Macaca mulatta: one gene and its partners. Each later gene encodes a partner of the first gene's protein in a complex. Links are inferred from orthologs where the notes say so. Each region holds a gene or a part of one and is shown in the gene's direction. Other genes may lie near its edges. The genes, in order: ITGB7, ITGAE and FLNA.

The links.
Region 2: the proteins of ITGB7 (region 1) and ITGAE are in contact, whole or in part, in a cryo-EM structure (PDB 8ZJF), measured with the Homo sapiens proteins. The link is inferred for Macaca mulatta from reciprocal best matches to the Homo sapiens genes ITGB7 and ITGAE. Residues at the interface, in NP_000880.1 of Homo sapiens: Val201, Leu202, Pro203, Ser206, Thr207, Val208, Pro209, Ser210, Lys211, Arg213, His214, Cys216, Pro217, Arg219, Leu220, Glu221, Arg222, Leu255, Asp256, Ser257, Pro258, Thr291, Phe292, His293, Thr294, Ala295, Gly296, Asp297, Lys299, Leu300; in NP_002199.3 of Homo sapiens: Phe36, Leu38, Arg91, His92, Arg93, Gly94, Leu111, Arg113, Leu118, Ser119, Ser120, Leu122, Glu196, Glu198, Arg230, Tyr233, Glu234, Phe237, Glu238, Cys239, Asn240, Ser259, Gln260, Val262, Met263, Leu266, Arg300, Leu401, Gln403, Phe406.
Region 3: the proteins of ITGB7 (region 1) and FLNA are in contact, whole or in part, in a crystal structure (PDB 2BRQ), measured with the Homo sapiens proteins. The link is inferred for Macaca mulatta from reciprocal best matches to the Homo sapiens genes ITGB7 and FLNA. Residues at the interface, in NP_000880.1 of Homo sapiens: Pro776, Leu777, Tyr778, Lys779, Ser780, Ala781, Ile782, Thr783, Thr784, Thr785, Ile786, Asn787, Pro788; in NP_001104026.1 of Homo sapiens: Thr2263, Gly2267, Ala2268, Gly2269, Gly2270, Leu2271, Ala2272, Ile2273, Ala2274, Val2275, Glu2276, Gly2277, Pro2278, Ser2279, Lys2280, Ala2281, Ile2283, Phe2285, Phe2311.

The regions. Positions count from the first base shown.
Region 1 is NC_133416.1:60,331,432-60,336,523, reverse strand, and holds part of ITGB7 (integrin beta-7), read left to right. Parts: intron 1-649; coding exon 650-808; intron 809-1,115; coding exon 1,116-1,211; intron 1,212-1,372; coding exon 1,373-1,462; intron 1,463-2,453; coding exon 2,454-2,600; intron 2,601-2,911; coding exon 2,912-3,105; intron 3,106-3,445; coding exon 3,446-3,669; intron 3,670-3,890; coding exon 3,891-4,110; intron 4,111-4,262; coding exon 4,263-4,471; intron 4,472-4,777; coding exon 4,778-4,938; intron 4,939-5,062; coding exon of another isoform or gene 5,063-5,092. UniProt on the Homo sapiens protein: Integrin ITGA4/ITGB7 (alpha-4/beta-7) (Peyer patches-specific homing receptor LPAM-1) is an adhesion molecule that mediates lymphocyte migration and homing to gut-associated lymphoid tissue (GALT).
Region 2 is NC_133421.1:5,243,856-5,248,947, reverse strand, and holds part of ITGAE (integrin alpha-E), read left to right. Parts: intron 1-1,114; coding exon 1,115-1,268; intron 1,269-2,242; coding exon 2,243-2,393; intron 2,394-3,483; coding exon 3,484-3,551; intron 3,552-4,387; coding exon 4,388-4,557; intron 4,558-5,092. UniProt on the Homo sapiens protein: Integrin alpha-E/beta-7 is a receptor for E-cadherin. It mediates adhesion of intra-epithelial T-lymphocytes to epithelial cell monolayers.
Region 3 is NC_133426.1:160,543,609-160,548,700, forward strand, and holds part of FLNA (filamin-A), read left to right. Parts: intron 1-1,087; 5' UTR 1,088-1,203; coding exon 1,204-1,576; intron 1,577-4,378; coding exon 4,379-4,627; intron 4,628-4,730; coding exon 4,731-4,828; intron 4,829-4,924; coding exon 4,925-5,072; intron 5,073-5,092. UniProt on the Homo sapiens protein: Promotes orthogonal branching of actin filaments and links actin filaments to membrane glycoproteins. Anchors various transmembrane proteins to the actin cytoskeleton and serves as a scaffold for a wide range of cytoplasmic signaling proteins.

The DNA.
Region 1 (5,092 bases):
TGGTTGTATAGTGCACCATTCTAGGGGGTGCCATTCATACCATAGTAGGTGTAGTTTGTATACTTATTTTAACAATTACCTAGTGGGTTGGAGTAAAATATCTTTTTTTTTTTTTTTTTTTGAGACAGAGTCTCGCTCTGTTGCCCAGGCTGGAGTGCAGTGGCCGGATCTCAGCTCACTGCAAGATCCGCCTCCCGGGTTCACGCCATTCTCCTGCCTCAGCCTCCCGAGTAGCTGGGACTACAGGCGCCCGCCAACTCGGCTAGTTTTTTATGTATTTTTAGTAGAGACGGGGTTTCACCGTGTTCGCCAGGATGGTCTCGATCTCCTGACCTTGTGATCCGCCCGTCTCGGCCTCCCAAAGTGCTGGGATTACAGGCTTGAGCCACCGCGCCCGGCCTGGAGTAAAGTATCTTGAGGAGAGTATCTTGAGGAGAAGGCATGTTTTTCTAATTCACAAGTAAGCTTCCACTAGCAGCAGCCTTCTTTGGGGGACTGGGGAGAGCAGGAGAAAGCAAGGTACTGTAGGCAAGGGGATGGACAAGCTGACTCAGAGTGAGGCTTGCCACATTCTTGGCTCACAGAGCTGGCTGGGGTGGCTCAAGGGCCATGCTCAGGTGCATAGCCTACCACCCCCACTGTGCCTCAGGAGCAGATTGGCTGGAGAAATGTGTCCCGGCTGCTGGTGTTCACTTCAGATGACACATTCCATACGGCTGGGGACGGGAAGTTGGGTGGCATTTTCATGCCCAGTGATGGGCACTGCCACTTGGACAGCAATGGCCTCTACAGTCGCAGCACAGAGTTTGTGAGTCCCTATAGTCACCCCGCCTCTCCCCATTTGAGCCATACCTCTTTCCTTCCAGGACTCCCACTCCCAGCCTTACAGTCCTCACCAGTAACCACCCTGTAGACAGCTGCCATCTTCCCCAGCAGTTCCTCCTTTCAGCTGTGGAGACAGGACACCTTTCCCTACCTCCTTCCTATTCCATAGCAAGCCTCCAGGGCTCCTCCAGCTGGTGGAACCTTGGTTCCTGGATTCCCCAGGCTGAGGGCACCTTGCATGTTGTGGGGGAGACCTGTGGGGCTCACCTTGTCCCTGCTCCCTGCCCTAGGACTACCCCTCTGTGGGTCAGGTAGCCCAGGCCCTCTCTGCAGCAAACATCCAGCCCATCTTTGCTGTCACCAGTGCTGCACTGCCTGTCTACCAGGTGAGAGCTGTCTACATGTCAGATCCCCAGCCCCACCCCAGCCTTTCTCAATTCCCCCAAAGATCCATTCTCTGTCCCCCATATGCCCTCCTTCCAGACCCCCAGGAGCCCATTTTCCTAGAGCTGTGACCTACCATTTCCCTTAACTCCCTATAACTCAGGAGCTGAGTAAGCTGATTCCTAAGTCTGCGGTTGGGGAGCTGAGTGAGGACTCCAGCAATGTGGTACAGCTCATCATGGATGCTTATAATGTGAGGGGCCAAACGAGGGGGAGATGGTGAGGGTGGGCACTAGGGAAAGGTGGAAAGGGGTCCTTGGGTGGGGTGGCAGAACTAAGGGGAAATGGTCACTTTTTGGTCTAACATTCCACAGCTCCTACCTATAGTCTGCATGTGGCTGTCATTAATTGTTCAATCTTACATTCATAAATCTTAAACATCTGACGTGCAGAGAGCATGGAGCTCAGATCCCCGCCCCACCTCCTCACCTGGCAGAGTGCAGCCTGCCAGGAAAGTTTCAGTCACTGAGCTTTTATTTCACACACCCACCATCCTAGGTGTACATACTGTTTCTACTTCATTTAACCCTGCCAAAAGCCTTGCTTCGTAACTGTTATCATCCCTCTTTTACAGAGGAGGAAACCCACACAAGGCTAAGTGACTTGTCCAAGGTCACAAAGATAACAAACAGAAGGGCTGGCATTTTTCCCCAGTCTGTACATAAACAATGTGAGATCTGGAGCCTGCTTTCACTATGTTTATAAATAATTCAGAGCTATTTTTCACAAGAACCATAGAATTTTACAGGTAGAAGGAACCATAAAAACTCTTAGTGGTTTAGGTCTTATCTCTGCAACTAGGCTGTAGGCTTCCTGATAACAGAGCATCTCCTAAACCTATGGCAAAAAAATCTGAGACGGTATCAAATTTCCCAAGACAAACTCTGTAATGAATTTGCCCTTTAGACCTGGCATGCACCCAGGTTATGTGTCCTGATGTGGGGCTTCACAAACATGGTCTCTGCACTGAAATGCTGTATTAGAGGCCTCTGGATCCTGTATATTCTATGCAAGGTTCTCATGGGTCCTCCCTCCAGAAATGCCTCGACTGGGCAGAATGTAAGGAGCCCCAGGTGGCAGAGGGCAGGGTGCTGGCAGAACTGGGAACACCTGGAGAGGACATAAGGTGGGGGTGGGGTCCTTTCCTGCCTTCACGTGGTTATCCACTTGCTCTCTTCCCATAGAGCCTGTCTTCCACTGTGACCCTTGAACACTCTTCACTCCCTCCTGGGGTCCACATTTCTTACGAATCCCAGTGTGAGGGTCCTGAGAAGACGGAGGGTAAGGCTGAGGATCGAGGACAGTGCAACCATGTCCAAATCAACCAGACGGTGAGAGCCAGCAAGCACAGGCAGAAGGCGGGCGGGCAGGGGGAGGTGGGAGTGGGAAATTAAGCAGGCAGGGAAAGATGGGGGGCAGGAATGGGGAGTGATGGGAGAGCCTGGGGTAATCCTCCATCCATCCTTCCTGAAGTAGTCTGAGTGGCTTCCTCAGGTAAAGTTTCTAGGAGTTGGGTGTTACCATGACCCCATCTCTTCATTTACTAAGGGGTGAGGTTCTGGATGATCTAAGGGGTGAGGTTCTGGGTGAGTTTGGTGTGTTTGTATAACCATGGCCTGATTCCTGCCTACCCTGTTCTTAGGTGACTTTCTGGGTTTCCCTCCAAGCCACCCACTGCCTCCCAGAGCCCCATCTCCTGAGGCTCCGGGCCCTTGGCTTCTCAGAGGAGCTGATTGTGGAGTTGCACACGCTGTGTGACTGTAACTGCAGTGACACCCAGGCCCAGGCTCCCCACTGCAGTGATGGCCAGGGACACCTACAATGTGGGGTATGCAGGTGAGGGCCTCCTCTTCCCTTCACCCAGCTGGCTGACAACAAACGACCAACCCTGGCCCGTATTCCTCCGCTGCTTTCCATTCCCCCCACAGGAGTATCCTTGACATCCCTAGACTCCCCACTCAATTTCATCCCTTGAAGCTTCCCAGATATGTTCAGGCCCTCCTCTTGACTGCGGCTCCCTCCACTCTCTCACCCCTCGTCGGTGTTCCACTATACTTATTCCTTCAGTTGTCTTTCTCCAACTCTTGAGAACTTGGGTTTAGAGGTTCCTGGGAGAGACAAGTCAGGGGTGATCAAACCCTCTGACCTACTTCCCTCCTTTGCCTTCCCCTCCCAGCTGTGCCCCCGGCCGCCTAGGCCGGCTCTGTGAGTGCTCTGAGGCTGAGCTGTCCTCCTTAGATCTGGAATCTGGGTGCCGGGCTCCCAATGGCACAGGGCCCCTATGCAGCGGAAAGGGTCAGTGCCAATGTGGACACTGCAGCTGCAATGGACAGAGCTCTGGACATCTGTGCGAGTGTGACGATGCCAGCTGTGAGCGACATGAGGGCATCCTCTGTGGAGGTACCTTGGGGAGAAGGGCAGGGTCTGAGAGGCCTTCCCAAGGCACTTAGGCTCTGGGAGTCTCCTGGCATGGAAGGCAAATGTCAAAGATTCTGGTGTATGGGTTAGAGAGTGTGTTTGGCATACTTGAAAAAGACTGGATGCATGCGCTTGTGGTGCCATGTGATGGCCAACTGTGTGTGTGGAGTATGGTTGTCACCCTCTGCATGGCTCTACCCCAGGCTTTGGTCGCTGCCAATGTGGAGTATGTCACTGTCATGCCAACCGCACGGGCAGAGCATGCGAATGCAGTGGGGACATGGACAGTTGCATCAGTCCCGAGGGAGGGCTCTGCAGTGGGCATGGACGCTGCAAATGCAACCGCTGCCAGTGCTCGGATGGCTACTACGGTGCTCTATGTGACCAATGCCCAGGCTGCAAGACACCATGTGAGAGACACCGGTGAGGCCTCAGGTCTTGCATCTTGGGAGCAGGGGCACAGTGGGGCTTGTTGAGCCACTCCCATCTGCCTACTCTCCTTCCTGCTTGTAGTTGGGTAAAGGGCATTGGGTGACAACTACCCAGCTGGTAACTTATTGGCATCTACTGCATAGGGACTGTGCAGAGTGTGGGGCCTTTGGGACTGGCCTCCTGGCCACCAATTGCAGTACAGCTTGTGCCCATACCAATGTGACCCTGGTCTTGGCCCCTATCTTGGATGATGGCTGGTGCAAAGAGAGGACCCTGGACAACCACTTGTTCTTCTTCTTGGTGGAGGATGACGCCAGAGGCAGGGTCGTGCTCAGAGTGAGACCCCAAGAAAGTAAGTGGTCAGGGATGCCACAAACCCTGGAAGTTTGATGGGTAGGGTCTCAACTCTGGGGATGCAGAGTGAAGATAATGGGAAACAGGATGGGGGCTGAGGCAGAACTGTGAATCCAGAACAAAGGCAGAGGCGACTGAGCAAGTGGACAAGGCTAAGGCCCTGGGCAGTGAGAATAACCCTGGACCTTGCTGGGTTCCCTTTGCTTTCAGTGACAGGGTTGGACAGGCTGGACACACCGTGAACAACTGTTGATCTGTCCCTATGCTCCAGCTCCCACAAGTGTGTCTGGTTTCTTGTTCACAGAGGGAGCAGACCACACCCAGGCCATTGTGCTGGGCTGCGTAGGGGGCATTGTGGCAGTGGGGCTGGGGCTGGTCCTGGCTTACCGGCTCTCGGTGGAAATCTATGACCGCCGGGAATACAGTCGCTTTGAGAAGGAGCAGCAACAACTCAACTGGAAGCAGGTGAAACTTCCTGGTTAGGCCCCCTTTTAGCTGTCTCCCCACCACAAGCCCATCCCTGATTCCTCCCACTGGGTTCCCCCAGCGCCTGGCACATGTAACCAATCCCTCTGCTAACTTCCATCAGCTCCTAGGATTCGGCTCAAGACTGGCCTCT
Region 2 (5,092 bases), on another chromosome or scaffold:
CTGGCCAACATGGTGAAACTCTGTCTCTACTAAAAATACAAAGGGTGTGGTGGCAGGTGCCTGTAATCCCAGCTACTTGGGAGGCTGAGGCGGGAGAAACGCTTGAACTTGGGAGGCAGAGGTTGCAGTGAGTTGAGATGGTGCCACTGCACTCCAGCCTGGGCAACAGAGTGAGACTCCATCTCTCTCAAGAAAATAATAATAATAAAATAAATAAATAAAATGAGAATGATAATAGGACTCACAGCTTGGAGCAGTGGCTTGTGCCTATAGTTCCAGCTACTCAGGAAGCTGAGGCAGGAGGACTGCTTGAGCCCAGGAGTCTAAGGATGCAGTGAGTCATGATCACACCACTGTACTCCAGTCTGGGTGACAGAGTGAGATGCTGTCTCTAAAAAAGAAAGAAAAATAATAGCACTTACCTGGTAGATTTTGTGGCGGTTGGATGGGTTAAAATATACAGTGTTGGCCGGGCGTCGTGGCTCACGCCTGTAATCCCAGCACTTTGGGAGGCCGAGGCGGGTGGATCACGAGGTCAGGAGATCAAGACCATCCTGGCTAACACAGTGAAACCCCGTCTCTACTAAAAATACAAAAAAATTAGCTGGGTGTGGTGGCGGGCGCCTGTAGTCCCAGCTACTCGGAGGCTGAGGCAGGAGAATGGCGTGAACCCGGGAGGCGGAGCTTGCAGTGAGCCGAGATGGCACCACTGCACTCCAGCCTGGGCGAAAAAGTGAGAATCCGTCTCAAAAAGAAAAAAAAAAAATTATATATATATATAGTGTTTACAGCAGTGCCTGACACATGATAAATGCCATGTGAGCATTATCTATCATTTTAATGTCATTACTCTTCCTGTATGCACACAAAAGGAAGAGACTGCCAGCCAGCACCTTTCTGCTGGGAGCAGGTGAGAAGGAAGAACACCTGTGTTACAGCCCTCCCTCTGCCTAGCCTCGCTGTGTGACTTAAGGGGGCATCACCCCCTTCTTTGGGTCTTTTGGGAGGATTGTGAACCCTCCCCATTCTAATACAGGTCAGAGAATGAAGTCTCTCCTGGAGGCGGTCATGCCTCTGGCAAAGCTCTCTTCTTCCTTTACTCTCCCCTGCTCAGAGACAACATCTTCACCTCAAGCCACGGCTCCAGAAGAAAGGCATCCAAGGTCATGGTGGTGCTCACTGATGGTGGCATATTCGAGGACCCCCTCGACCTTACGACAGTCATCAACTCCCCTAAAATGCATGGTGTTGAGCGCTTTGCCATTGGGGTAAGAGCCAGGAGCCGGGAGGCCCCTCCTGACCCTGCTCAGCCTGGGGTGGGGAGGAGTCAGGGTTGTAGATGGGGGCTTCTCTGTAAGCAGCTTATCCAGACCCTGTTCTGTTCGCAAACACTCCCCTTCTCCCCATGCCCTGTCATCCCAGAGAGGGCCCATTTCCCCATGGTGGTCACAGCTTCCTGGCCAAATAGTGACGGGAGAGCCCACAGGAAACGCACCAAGGAAGGTTCCTGGAGGACCGTGGTGCCGAGCTGAGTCCTGCCAGACAAATGAGAGTAGCTGCTTAGGGCACAGGGGAGGCAGAGAGGGCCCCGCAGGCAGAGGGAACGAGAGTAGCTGCTTAGGGCACAGGGGAGGCAGAGAGGGCCCCGCAGGCAGAGGGAACGGGAGTAGCTGGCCTAGGGCGCAGGGGAGGCAGAGAGGGCCCCGCAGGCAGAGGGAACGGGAGTAGCTGCTTAGGGCGCAGGGGAGGCAGAGAGGGCCCCGCAGGCAGAGGGAACGGGGGTAGCTGGCCTAGGGCGCAGGAGAGGCAGAGAGGGCCCCGCAGGCAGAGGGAACGGGGGTAGCTGGCCTAGGGCGCAGGGGAGGCAGAGAGGGGCCCTGCAGGCAGAGGGAACGGGAGTAGCTGCTTAGGGCGCAGGGGAGGCAGAGAGGGCCCCGCAGGCAGAGGGAACGGGAGTAGCTGCTTAGGGCACAGGGGAGGCAGAGAGGGGCCCTGCAGGCAGAGGAAACAGCATGTGCAGAGGTGAGGAGGGGCTCGGTGTGTTCAGGAGAACAAGTGTACTTTGGTAAAACTGGAATTTTGCCCAGAGTGTGTGTAGAACAGGGAGCAGGGAAAGGAGGAGAAAGGAAGAAAGGAGGCAGGTAATGGAGGGCCCCAGAGGTCAGGGGGAGGGGCTCAGCTCTCTCCTTGGGCCTGGGGAATCCTCGCGGTGCTGACTCACTGACCCAGGCCCCCTGTGCAGGTGGGAGAAGAATTTAAGAGTGCTAGGACTGAGAGGGAACTCAACCTGATCGCCTCAGACCCGGATGAGACCCACGCTTTCAAGGTGACTAACTACATGGCGCTGGATGGGCTGCTCAGCAAACTGCGGTACAACATCATCAGCATGGAAGGTGAGGGCTCCAGGACCCACACCACCACGGGAGACCCCAGCCTGTGCTCCAGCCCCGCCTCTGTCCCATCTTCATGTGGTTTCTCTGAGTAACTCCCATCATCTCTCTAAGCCTCAGCTGTTCCATGTCTAAAAAGGCAATGGCCGGGTGTGGTGGCTCACGCCTGGAATCCCAACACTTTGGGAGACAGAGGCGGGTGGATCGCTTGAGGCCAGGAGTTCGAGACCCGCCTGGGCAACATGGTAAAACCTTGTCTCTACTAAAACAAAAATTAGCTGGGGCCGGGTGTGGTGGCTCACGCCCGTAATCCCAACACTCTGGGAGGCCAAGGCCGGTGGATCACCTGAGGTCTGGAGTTCAAGACCAGCCTGGCCAACATGGTGAAATCCTGTTTCTGCTAAAAATACAAAACAATGTAGCCGGCCATGGTGGTGCACATCTGTGATCCCAGCTACTCAGGAGCCTGAGGCAGAAGAATCACTTGAACTTAGGAGGCGGAGTTTGCAGTGAGCCAAGATCGCCTCACTGCACTCCAGGATGGGTGACAGAGCAAGCCTCCATCTCAAAAAAAAAAAAAAAAAAAAAAAAAAAAAAAATTAGCCAGGCGTGGTGGTGCGTGACCTGTATTCCCAGCTACTTGGGAAGCTAAGGCAACAGGTCACTTGACCTTGGGAGGCACAGGTTGCAGTGAGCTGATATTGAGCCACTGCACTCCAGCCTGAGCAACAGAGCAAGACACTGTCTCAAAAAAAAAAAAAAAAAAAAAAAAAGGCAACAATATCTCCAACCTCTTGCGTCCCAGAATCTCCATGAAGTTCTGATGAACTGAGCTGGTGCTGGAGAAACAAGGATGACTGGAGCGTAGTCCCTTCTCCCAGGAGCTCCCAGACGAGGAAACTGAGGCCTAGAAAGAGAGAGCGAACTGCCCAGACAGTAGTTGCTCAAGGAGAACCTGGGTCTCTACCTTCAACCGGGTGCTCTTCCTGTTACACCAAGCATGGTTCCCTGAGGCCAAGCTGGACTGTCCCCTGCCTCCGTTTCTCCCTTCACCTCCGCCCACAGCAGTCTCACTGGGCTTCTTGGCTTGCAGGCACGGTTGGAGACGCCCTTCACTACCAGCTGGCACAGATCGGCTTCAGTGCTCAGATCCTGGATGAGGTATGTGGCTGACTCAGCCCCAGGCAGGCTCGCCTGTTGGGAAGGGGCCCAGAACACCTAGGATTCAGGGACTCCTGCCTCCCATCCAGAGCTCTGCTCTCCCTGTGATGATTCCTCTAAAAGAGCCATTTTATTTTACTTATTTATTTATTTTGAGACGGAGTCTTGCTCTGTCGCCCAGGCTGGAGTGCAGCGGTGTAATCTCAGCTCACTGCAACCTCTGCCTCCCAGGTTCAAGTGATTCTCCTGCCTCAGCCTCCCATGTAGCTGGGATTACAGGCACCTGCCACCACGGCCAGCTAATTTTTGTATTTTTGGTAGAGACGGGATTTCACCATGTTGGCCAGGCTGGTCTCGAACTCCTGACCTCAGGCGATCCACCTGCCTCGGCCTCCCAAAGTGCTGAGATTACAGGTCTGAGCCACCGCGCCCGGCCTGAAAGAGCCATTTTAGGATAAAGGGAAATATTTCTGCCTGCTCACCTTAATCTGGACCACTGAGATAGACAGAAGTGTGGCCATATTGATGACAGGAGGTGGATTTTTTCTGTGTGCTCAAACATCCAGTTGCTCCCCAGTCAACAGGATTCGGCCTGGGTCAGCCTACCAACCAAGCTGCTTGCTTCTCCCAGAGGCGGGAGTGCAAGGGCACGAGGCAGGAGCCCAGGGTTGGCCATCTCACCTTCGCACCTGCATCTCTGGCCAGACGGGCACTAGGCCACCGAACGCCCCCCTTCTCCCAGCCAGGTTAGCCGCGCTGGCCCAGAGACCCGCTGCCACCGTGGCCCGGCCCTGGGTCCCTCCCACTCATCTGGGCCCCATCCCCGTCCCCTTCAGCGGCAGGTGCTGCTCGGCGCCGTCGGGGCCTTTGACTGGTCCGGAGGCGCGCTGCTCTACAACACACGCAGCCGCCGGGGTCGCTTCCTGAACCAGACGGCGGCGGCGGTGGACGGGGAGGCTGCGCAGTACAGCTACCTGGGTGAGGGCGGGGCCTGGGGGCTACCTGGGTGAGGGCGGGGCCTGGGTGCTACCTGGGTGAGGGCGGGGCCTGGGTGCTACCTGGGTGAGGGCGGGGCCTGGGGGGCTACCTGGGTGAGGGTGGGGCCTGGGGGGCTACCTGGGTGAGGGCGGGGCCTGGGTGCTACCTGGGTGAGGGTGGGGCCTGGGGGGCTACCTGGGTGAGGGCGGGGCCTGGGGGGCTACCTGGGTGAGGGCGGGGCCTGGGGGGCTACCTGGGTGAGGGCGGGGCCTGGGGGGGCTACCTGGGTGAGGGCGGGGCCTGGGGGGCTACCTGGGTGAGGGCGGGGCCTGGGTGCTACCTGGGTGAGGGCGGGGCCTGGGTGCTACCTGGGTGAGGGCGGGGCCTGGGGGGCTACCTGGGTGAGGGCGGGGCCTGGGGGGCTACCTGGGTGAGGGCGGGGCCTGGGGGGCTTCCTGGGTGAGGGCGGGGCCTGTGGACTACCTGGGTGAGGGCGGGGCCTGGGTGCTACCTGGGTGAGGGCGGGTCCTGGGGGCTACCTGGGTGAGGGCGGGGCCTGTGGG
Region 3 (5,092 bases), on another chromosome or scaffold:
ACCTGCCACCACACCCGAAGCCCACCCAGACCCAGGTGTTCAGAGTCTGACAAGTCTTATGGGAACCGCTGAGCAGGCCCCTCTGGGTCTGGAATGCCACTCCCGTTTGTCCCCTGGCTGGCCATGCTGGGCTCAGGGGCCTTTCCGACAGGAGAGGACCCCGGCTTCAACTCCCCCCAGTGCCCCGGGTGAACTGGCATGAATGATTAGGCGGGCACACGTCTCTGCACACATCGCACGGCACCCTCTGCCCGCGCCCACTGGCGTGCCCGTTGGCACGCCCGGACCCCTTCAAAGGTTACTTGCTCCTGGAGTGTCGGCGGCCTCCTGGCCCAGTGCCCCATATCCTCCCGGGTGGAGGGAAGCAGAGAGGGAGGCGGTGGGAAGCAGCGGGCACAGGTGCGCAGGCGAGGGCCCTACAGACTGGGAAGGCAGGCCCGTGGCAGGGGGTCTGCGGGGACCGCGTAGGCGCAGGCCTTGCCCTGCAGCCGCTTCCCAGGTGATGCGCACACAAAGGGCCCTCGGCAGTGCCTGGTCCGGGGCCGCCGCTCTCCAGGGGTTCGCTCTTAGGGTTGGCCCCTTCCCGCCGCTGCCGGGGCGGCGGACCGGGATGCCGCCCGGGAACCCTAGGCCCTGGGGGCCCGGGGAAAGGGGATGACGGTGGGAGGGTAGGGTTGTGCAGGGACGGGGCAGAGCCCAAGTGACTTAGGGACGAGAACCACCCCACCCCTCGCAGGAGCCCTGGGGAAGGAAAGTCCCTTGTAAGGCGCGCCGGCTGCAGGCCAAGCAGTCCCGCGCCAGATACTGCTCAGCCTTTCCTCGCTCTGGGGCGCGTTTCCTGCAGCGCCAACGCGAGGCCGCGGGGCTGGGAGCATCCTTGCCCACTCCAGGGCCCAGCGACCCACCCCGGAGCCCGGGTTTCACGTCTGATCAGCCAAAGCCCGGGGCCTAGTGGGGGCATTCCAACGGGCGGGGCGGGGTGGGGCAGTCGCGCCCCCGAAGCCCCACCCCACGGCCCCTCCCCGCAGGAGGCCCGCCCCCTGGCCCCGCCCCCCGCCCGCATTTAAAGGGCTCGCTCTCTCCGCAGCGCAACCTCTGCTTCCTTCCTCGCCTCCCGCGCGCCGAGGTGCCTGCGACTTTAATTAAAGGGCCGTCCCCTCGCCGAGGCTGCAGCACCGCCCCCCCGGCTTCTCGCGCCTCAAAATGAGTAGCTCCCACTCTCGGGCGGGCCAGAGCGCAGCAGGCGCGGCTCCGGGTGGTGGCGCTGACACGCGGGACGCGGAGATGCCGGCCACCGAGAAGGACCTCGCGGAGGACGCGCCGTGGAAGAAGATCCAGCAGAACACTTTCACGCGCTGGTGCAACGAGCACCTGAAGTGCGTGAGCAAGCGCATCGCCAACCTGCAGACGGACCTGAGCGACGGGCTGCGGCTCATCGCGCTGCTGGAGGTGCTCAGCCAGAAGAAGATGCACCGCAAGCACAACCAGCGGCCCACTTTCCGCCAAATGCAGCTTGAGAATGTGTCGGTGGCGCTCGAGTTCCTGGACCGCGAGAGCATCAAACTGGTGTCCATCGGTGAGGGACGCCCCGAAGCGCCGGGCGGGCGGGCGGGGGCGGGAATTCCGTGCGTCCTTCCATCCCCCCGGGCGGACCCCTCCAAACCACCTCCTTCCGGGCTGCGGCGCAGCTCCCGAGGCCCCCGGCTGGTCTGCTCCACGCGGGCCTGGAGAACAAAGGCGCGCGGGCTGGCGGGCTGGCCGGCCGGGCGTGCGAACCGCTACGCGCCCCCGCCCGCCGCGCCCCGGCTGGCCGGCGCCCAGGCTGAACTCACATCCTCAGCAGGCCGCGCCCCCGCAGATGTGCTCGCGGTGGGAGTGGGCCTGGGGGGTCGGGCACTGGGCAGGCTCTGGCCCTGCGCCCCATCCTCGAGGAGGAGGAGGCCCAGGCTCTCCCCCCACAGCTGTTTAGAGAGGGCCCTCTGGCTTCAGACTCCCCTTGTTTCTAAAGTGTGGGTTGGAGCTCGTGCGTCCCATTGTCTAGGACTCTGGGCTCTTTCTGTCCCTGGAGGATGCGTCGCCCATCGGAGATGGCTCCAACCACCAGTTTAGATCTACCTCCCCCACACACACAGGGAACCTGGGGGCCAGAAAGAAGCGTAGTTAGCAAAACTGTACCCGGAGTTGGGCGTGGTTGACTGAGGGACCTGGCTTGTAGACTACTTGGACGCCAACTTTTCTGTTCATCTTGGGACAAATTCTTGCTTCCATGTTGGCCTTGCTTTTCTGCGTATAGCACGCAGGAGTTGGTTGGTAGATGCTCCGGCGTGCACTGTGCCAGCCCAGTGTCTGTGTCACTGGACTGGTGAGGCTGGCATTGACCAGGCCTGCTGCAGCATCCCAGTTCTTTCTCAAGATAGGGGCTGCTTGGAAGGGCAGGCACCAGAACGGGTGACTTGGGGGTGACGTTGAACAGGGAGAGGAGAGGGATGATGATTCTTCTCTTCTTCAGAACTGAGAGGCCTTCCAGTTATCCCTGCAGCTCTGGAATGGCCCTTGCTGAACCCAAGAAAGTGAGGGACCAAGACTTGGGTTCCCCCAGCCACTCAGAGGGCAGATCCCAAGAATTGAAGTTCTTTCTTTGGAATGCCAGTTGAGGCGAGGGGCAGGCCCACCCCCCCAAGTCCCAGCCTCAGTCTAGCCAAGCTGAGTCATTTCAGAGTCCTGGATGGTGTGGGGGGGGGGCGACCGGATGTGGGGAGGCGGGCCACACCCCAGTTCTTTGGGGGGGGTCTCCTCCCTCCTCCCAGCTCCCCTCCTCCTTGTGAGCTGGCTGGAGCAGGCCTAGTTCCCAGAGCTTTGCCATATAAGGCAAAAAAATGTTGGAAAGCAGCAGTGATTAGGGGAGGGAGGGGCTGGCTGGCCCGGGGGCTGGGGAAAGGGGGTGGGATGGGGCGGGGCCATCCAGCCAGGCAGTCTCCCAGCCCTGGGCCCTGGTCCTTCACACTCTCTTTTGGGAGGGGGATGGGGACGGAGTAGGTTGGCCTAACATGGACCTGGTGGGCCTGGTTGCCCCCGGTGTGGGGGTCGTTAAGGGGTCTCAGGCTGGATTGGGGTGGGGGCCTGATGGGAAGCCCTGGCTGGCCTTGTTCCCTGGCCTTGCACCCTCAGTCCTCTCTGAGCCCCTCTCCCCGCTGCCATTTAGGGAGAGTGAAAGGCAGCCTCGTGGGGCCAGGACCAATCTGGGAACTGGGGAGGCCACTCTACTTTGAGCGGCCCACCTGGCCCTCCAGGTGCTGCCTGCTGGGCTGGGAAGCAGCTGCCGTGGACGGCCCAGCCCCTCCTCATAGACCCACCCCCTAGTTGACTCACCAGAGAAGTATTTTGTCTGATTATGGGAGAGGCTGACAGAGCTTCTAAAGATGAGCTCTTAGAAAGCCCAAACCATCCTGCCTTGAGCCTGAGACCCAGAAGTAGCTTTGGGTGGGGCCCAGAGCCCAGCAGGGTTGCCATGGCAATGGGGGGGGTGTCGGGGACCCGCCCTAACCACTTCCCCTGTGGCGAGCCTGCCGAGGCCCAGGCCCGTTAGGTGGCAAGTGGGTCAGGCAGTGGGTGGCAAGGGGGTTCCCACAGTGTCTCCTGCTGCCAGCCCGGCATCTCCCGATGGGCCCCAGTGAGTCAGGGCCATGTGGCCCAACTGCTGGTTCCTTTGGGCTCTGGGCCTCTCCCCTGGCCGGGCCTGTGGCCTCCCAGCTCCAAGCTTGGGTCTTCGAGGTAGTAGAGGAAGTGGAGGTGGTGGTGGGGGTCACACTCCTTTACCCAAAGGGTGTTTGCCCAACTCCCCCACTTCCCCTGCCTCACCCCACCCACCCTGGAACAACAGTTGTATTTCCCAACCACCCAGGGCCACCCGTCTTCCTCTTCCTCAGCCCCAGCCCCACTCCAGGCCATGGGCCCTGGATTCTGGGCCAGCTGGAGCCAATCTCCTCCTCCTGGTTCCCCATAGGCCCCTGAGGCGGGTGGCAGACCCCTGCTCTGGCAGCTGTGGACACTGTCCAGCTGTTCTCCAGAGCTGACCATCTGTGGGCTGGGTCTGCCCTCTGCCCTTCCTCTGGGCCCAGGGCTTCTGGCAGTAATCATACCCTGCTATCATCGCATGTCTGTGGGTATCTCCCCTCACCCCAAAGTCTCCTTTACTTCTGAACACCCCCTGGGATGCTGGGCAGAGAGGGCCTCATCCACATCCTACCACTGGTCAAGACGGGGTGTCTCCCTCCTCCTTGGCCCCCCCATCCCGTGCTACCAGACCATGACCCCAAAGCCTGGGAGCGGCCCCTCCCGCACAGCTGTGTGCCCAGTGTAGCCACTCTTGTACTCACAGACAGCAAGGCCATCGTGGACGGGAACCTGAAGCTGATCCTGGGCCTCATCTGGACCCTGATCCTGCACTACTCCATCTCCATGCCCATGTGGGATGAGGAGGAGGATGAGGAGGCCAAGAAGCAGACCCCCAAGCAGAGGCTCCTGGGCTGGATCCAGAACAAGCTGCCACAGCTGCCCATCACCAACTTCAGCCGAGACTGGCAGAGCGGCCGGGCCCTGGGTGCCCTGGTCGACAGCTGTGCCCCGGGTGAGGGGGCACAGAGGCAGGAGAGACTGGGCTGGGGTCGCCCATGGGTGGCCCTTGAGGGGCTTCTGTAGCCCCCGGATTCACAGCCTTCCTTGTGCCATAGGCCTGTGTCCTGACTGGGACTCTTGGGATGCCAGCAAGCCTGTGAATAATGCACGAGAGGCCATGCAGCAGGCGGATGACTGGCTGGGCATCCCCCAGGTACACCTGCCCGGCCTGTCTGCGGCTGTAGGGGACCGGATCGGCAGTTGGGAGAGACTCGGAGGCCCGATGGCTCCTGTTTTCTGCCCGTGACAGGTGATCACCCCCGAGGAGATTGTGGACCCCAACGTGGATGAGCATTCTGTCATGACCTACCTGTCCCAGTTCCCCAAGGCCAAGCTGAAGCCAGGGGCACCCTTGCGGCCCAAACTGAACCCGAAGAAAGCCCGTGCCTACGGGCCAGGTGAGGGAGCCCAGCCAGGG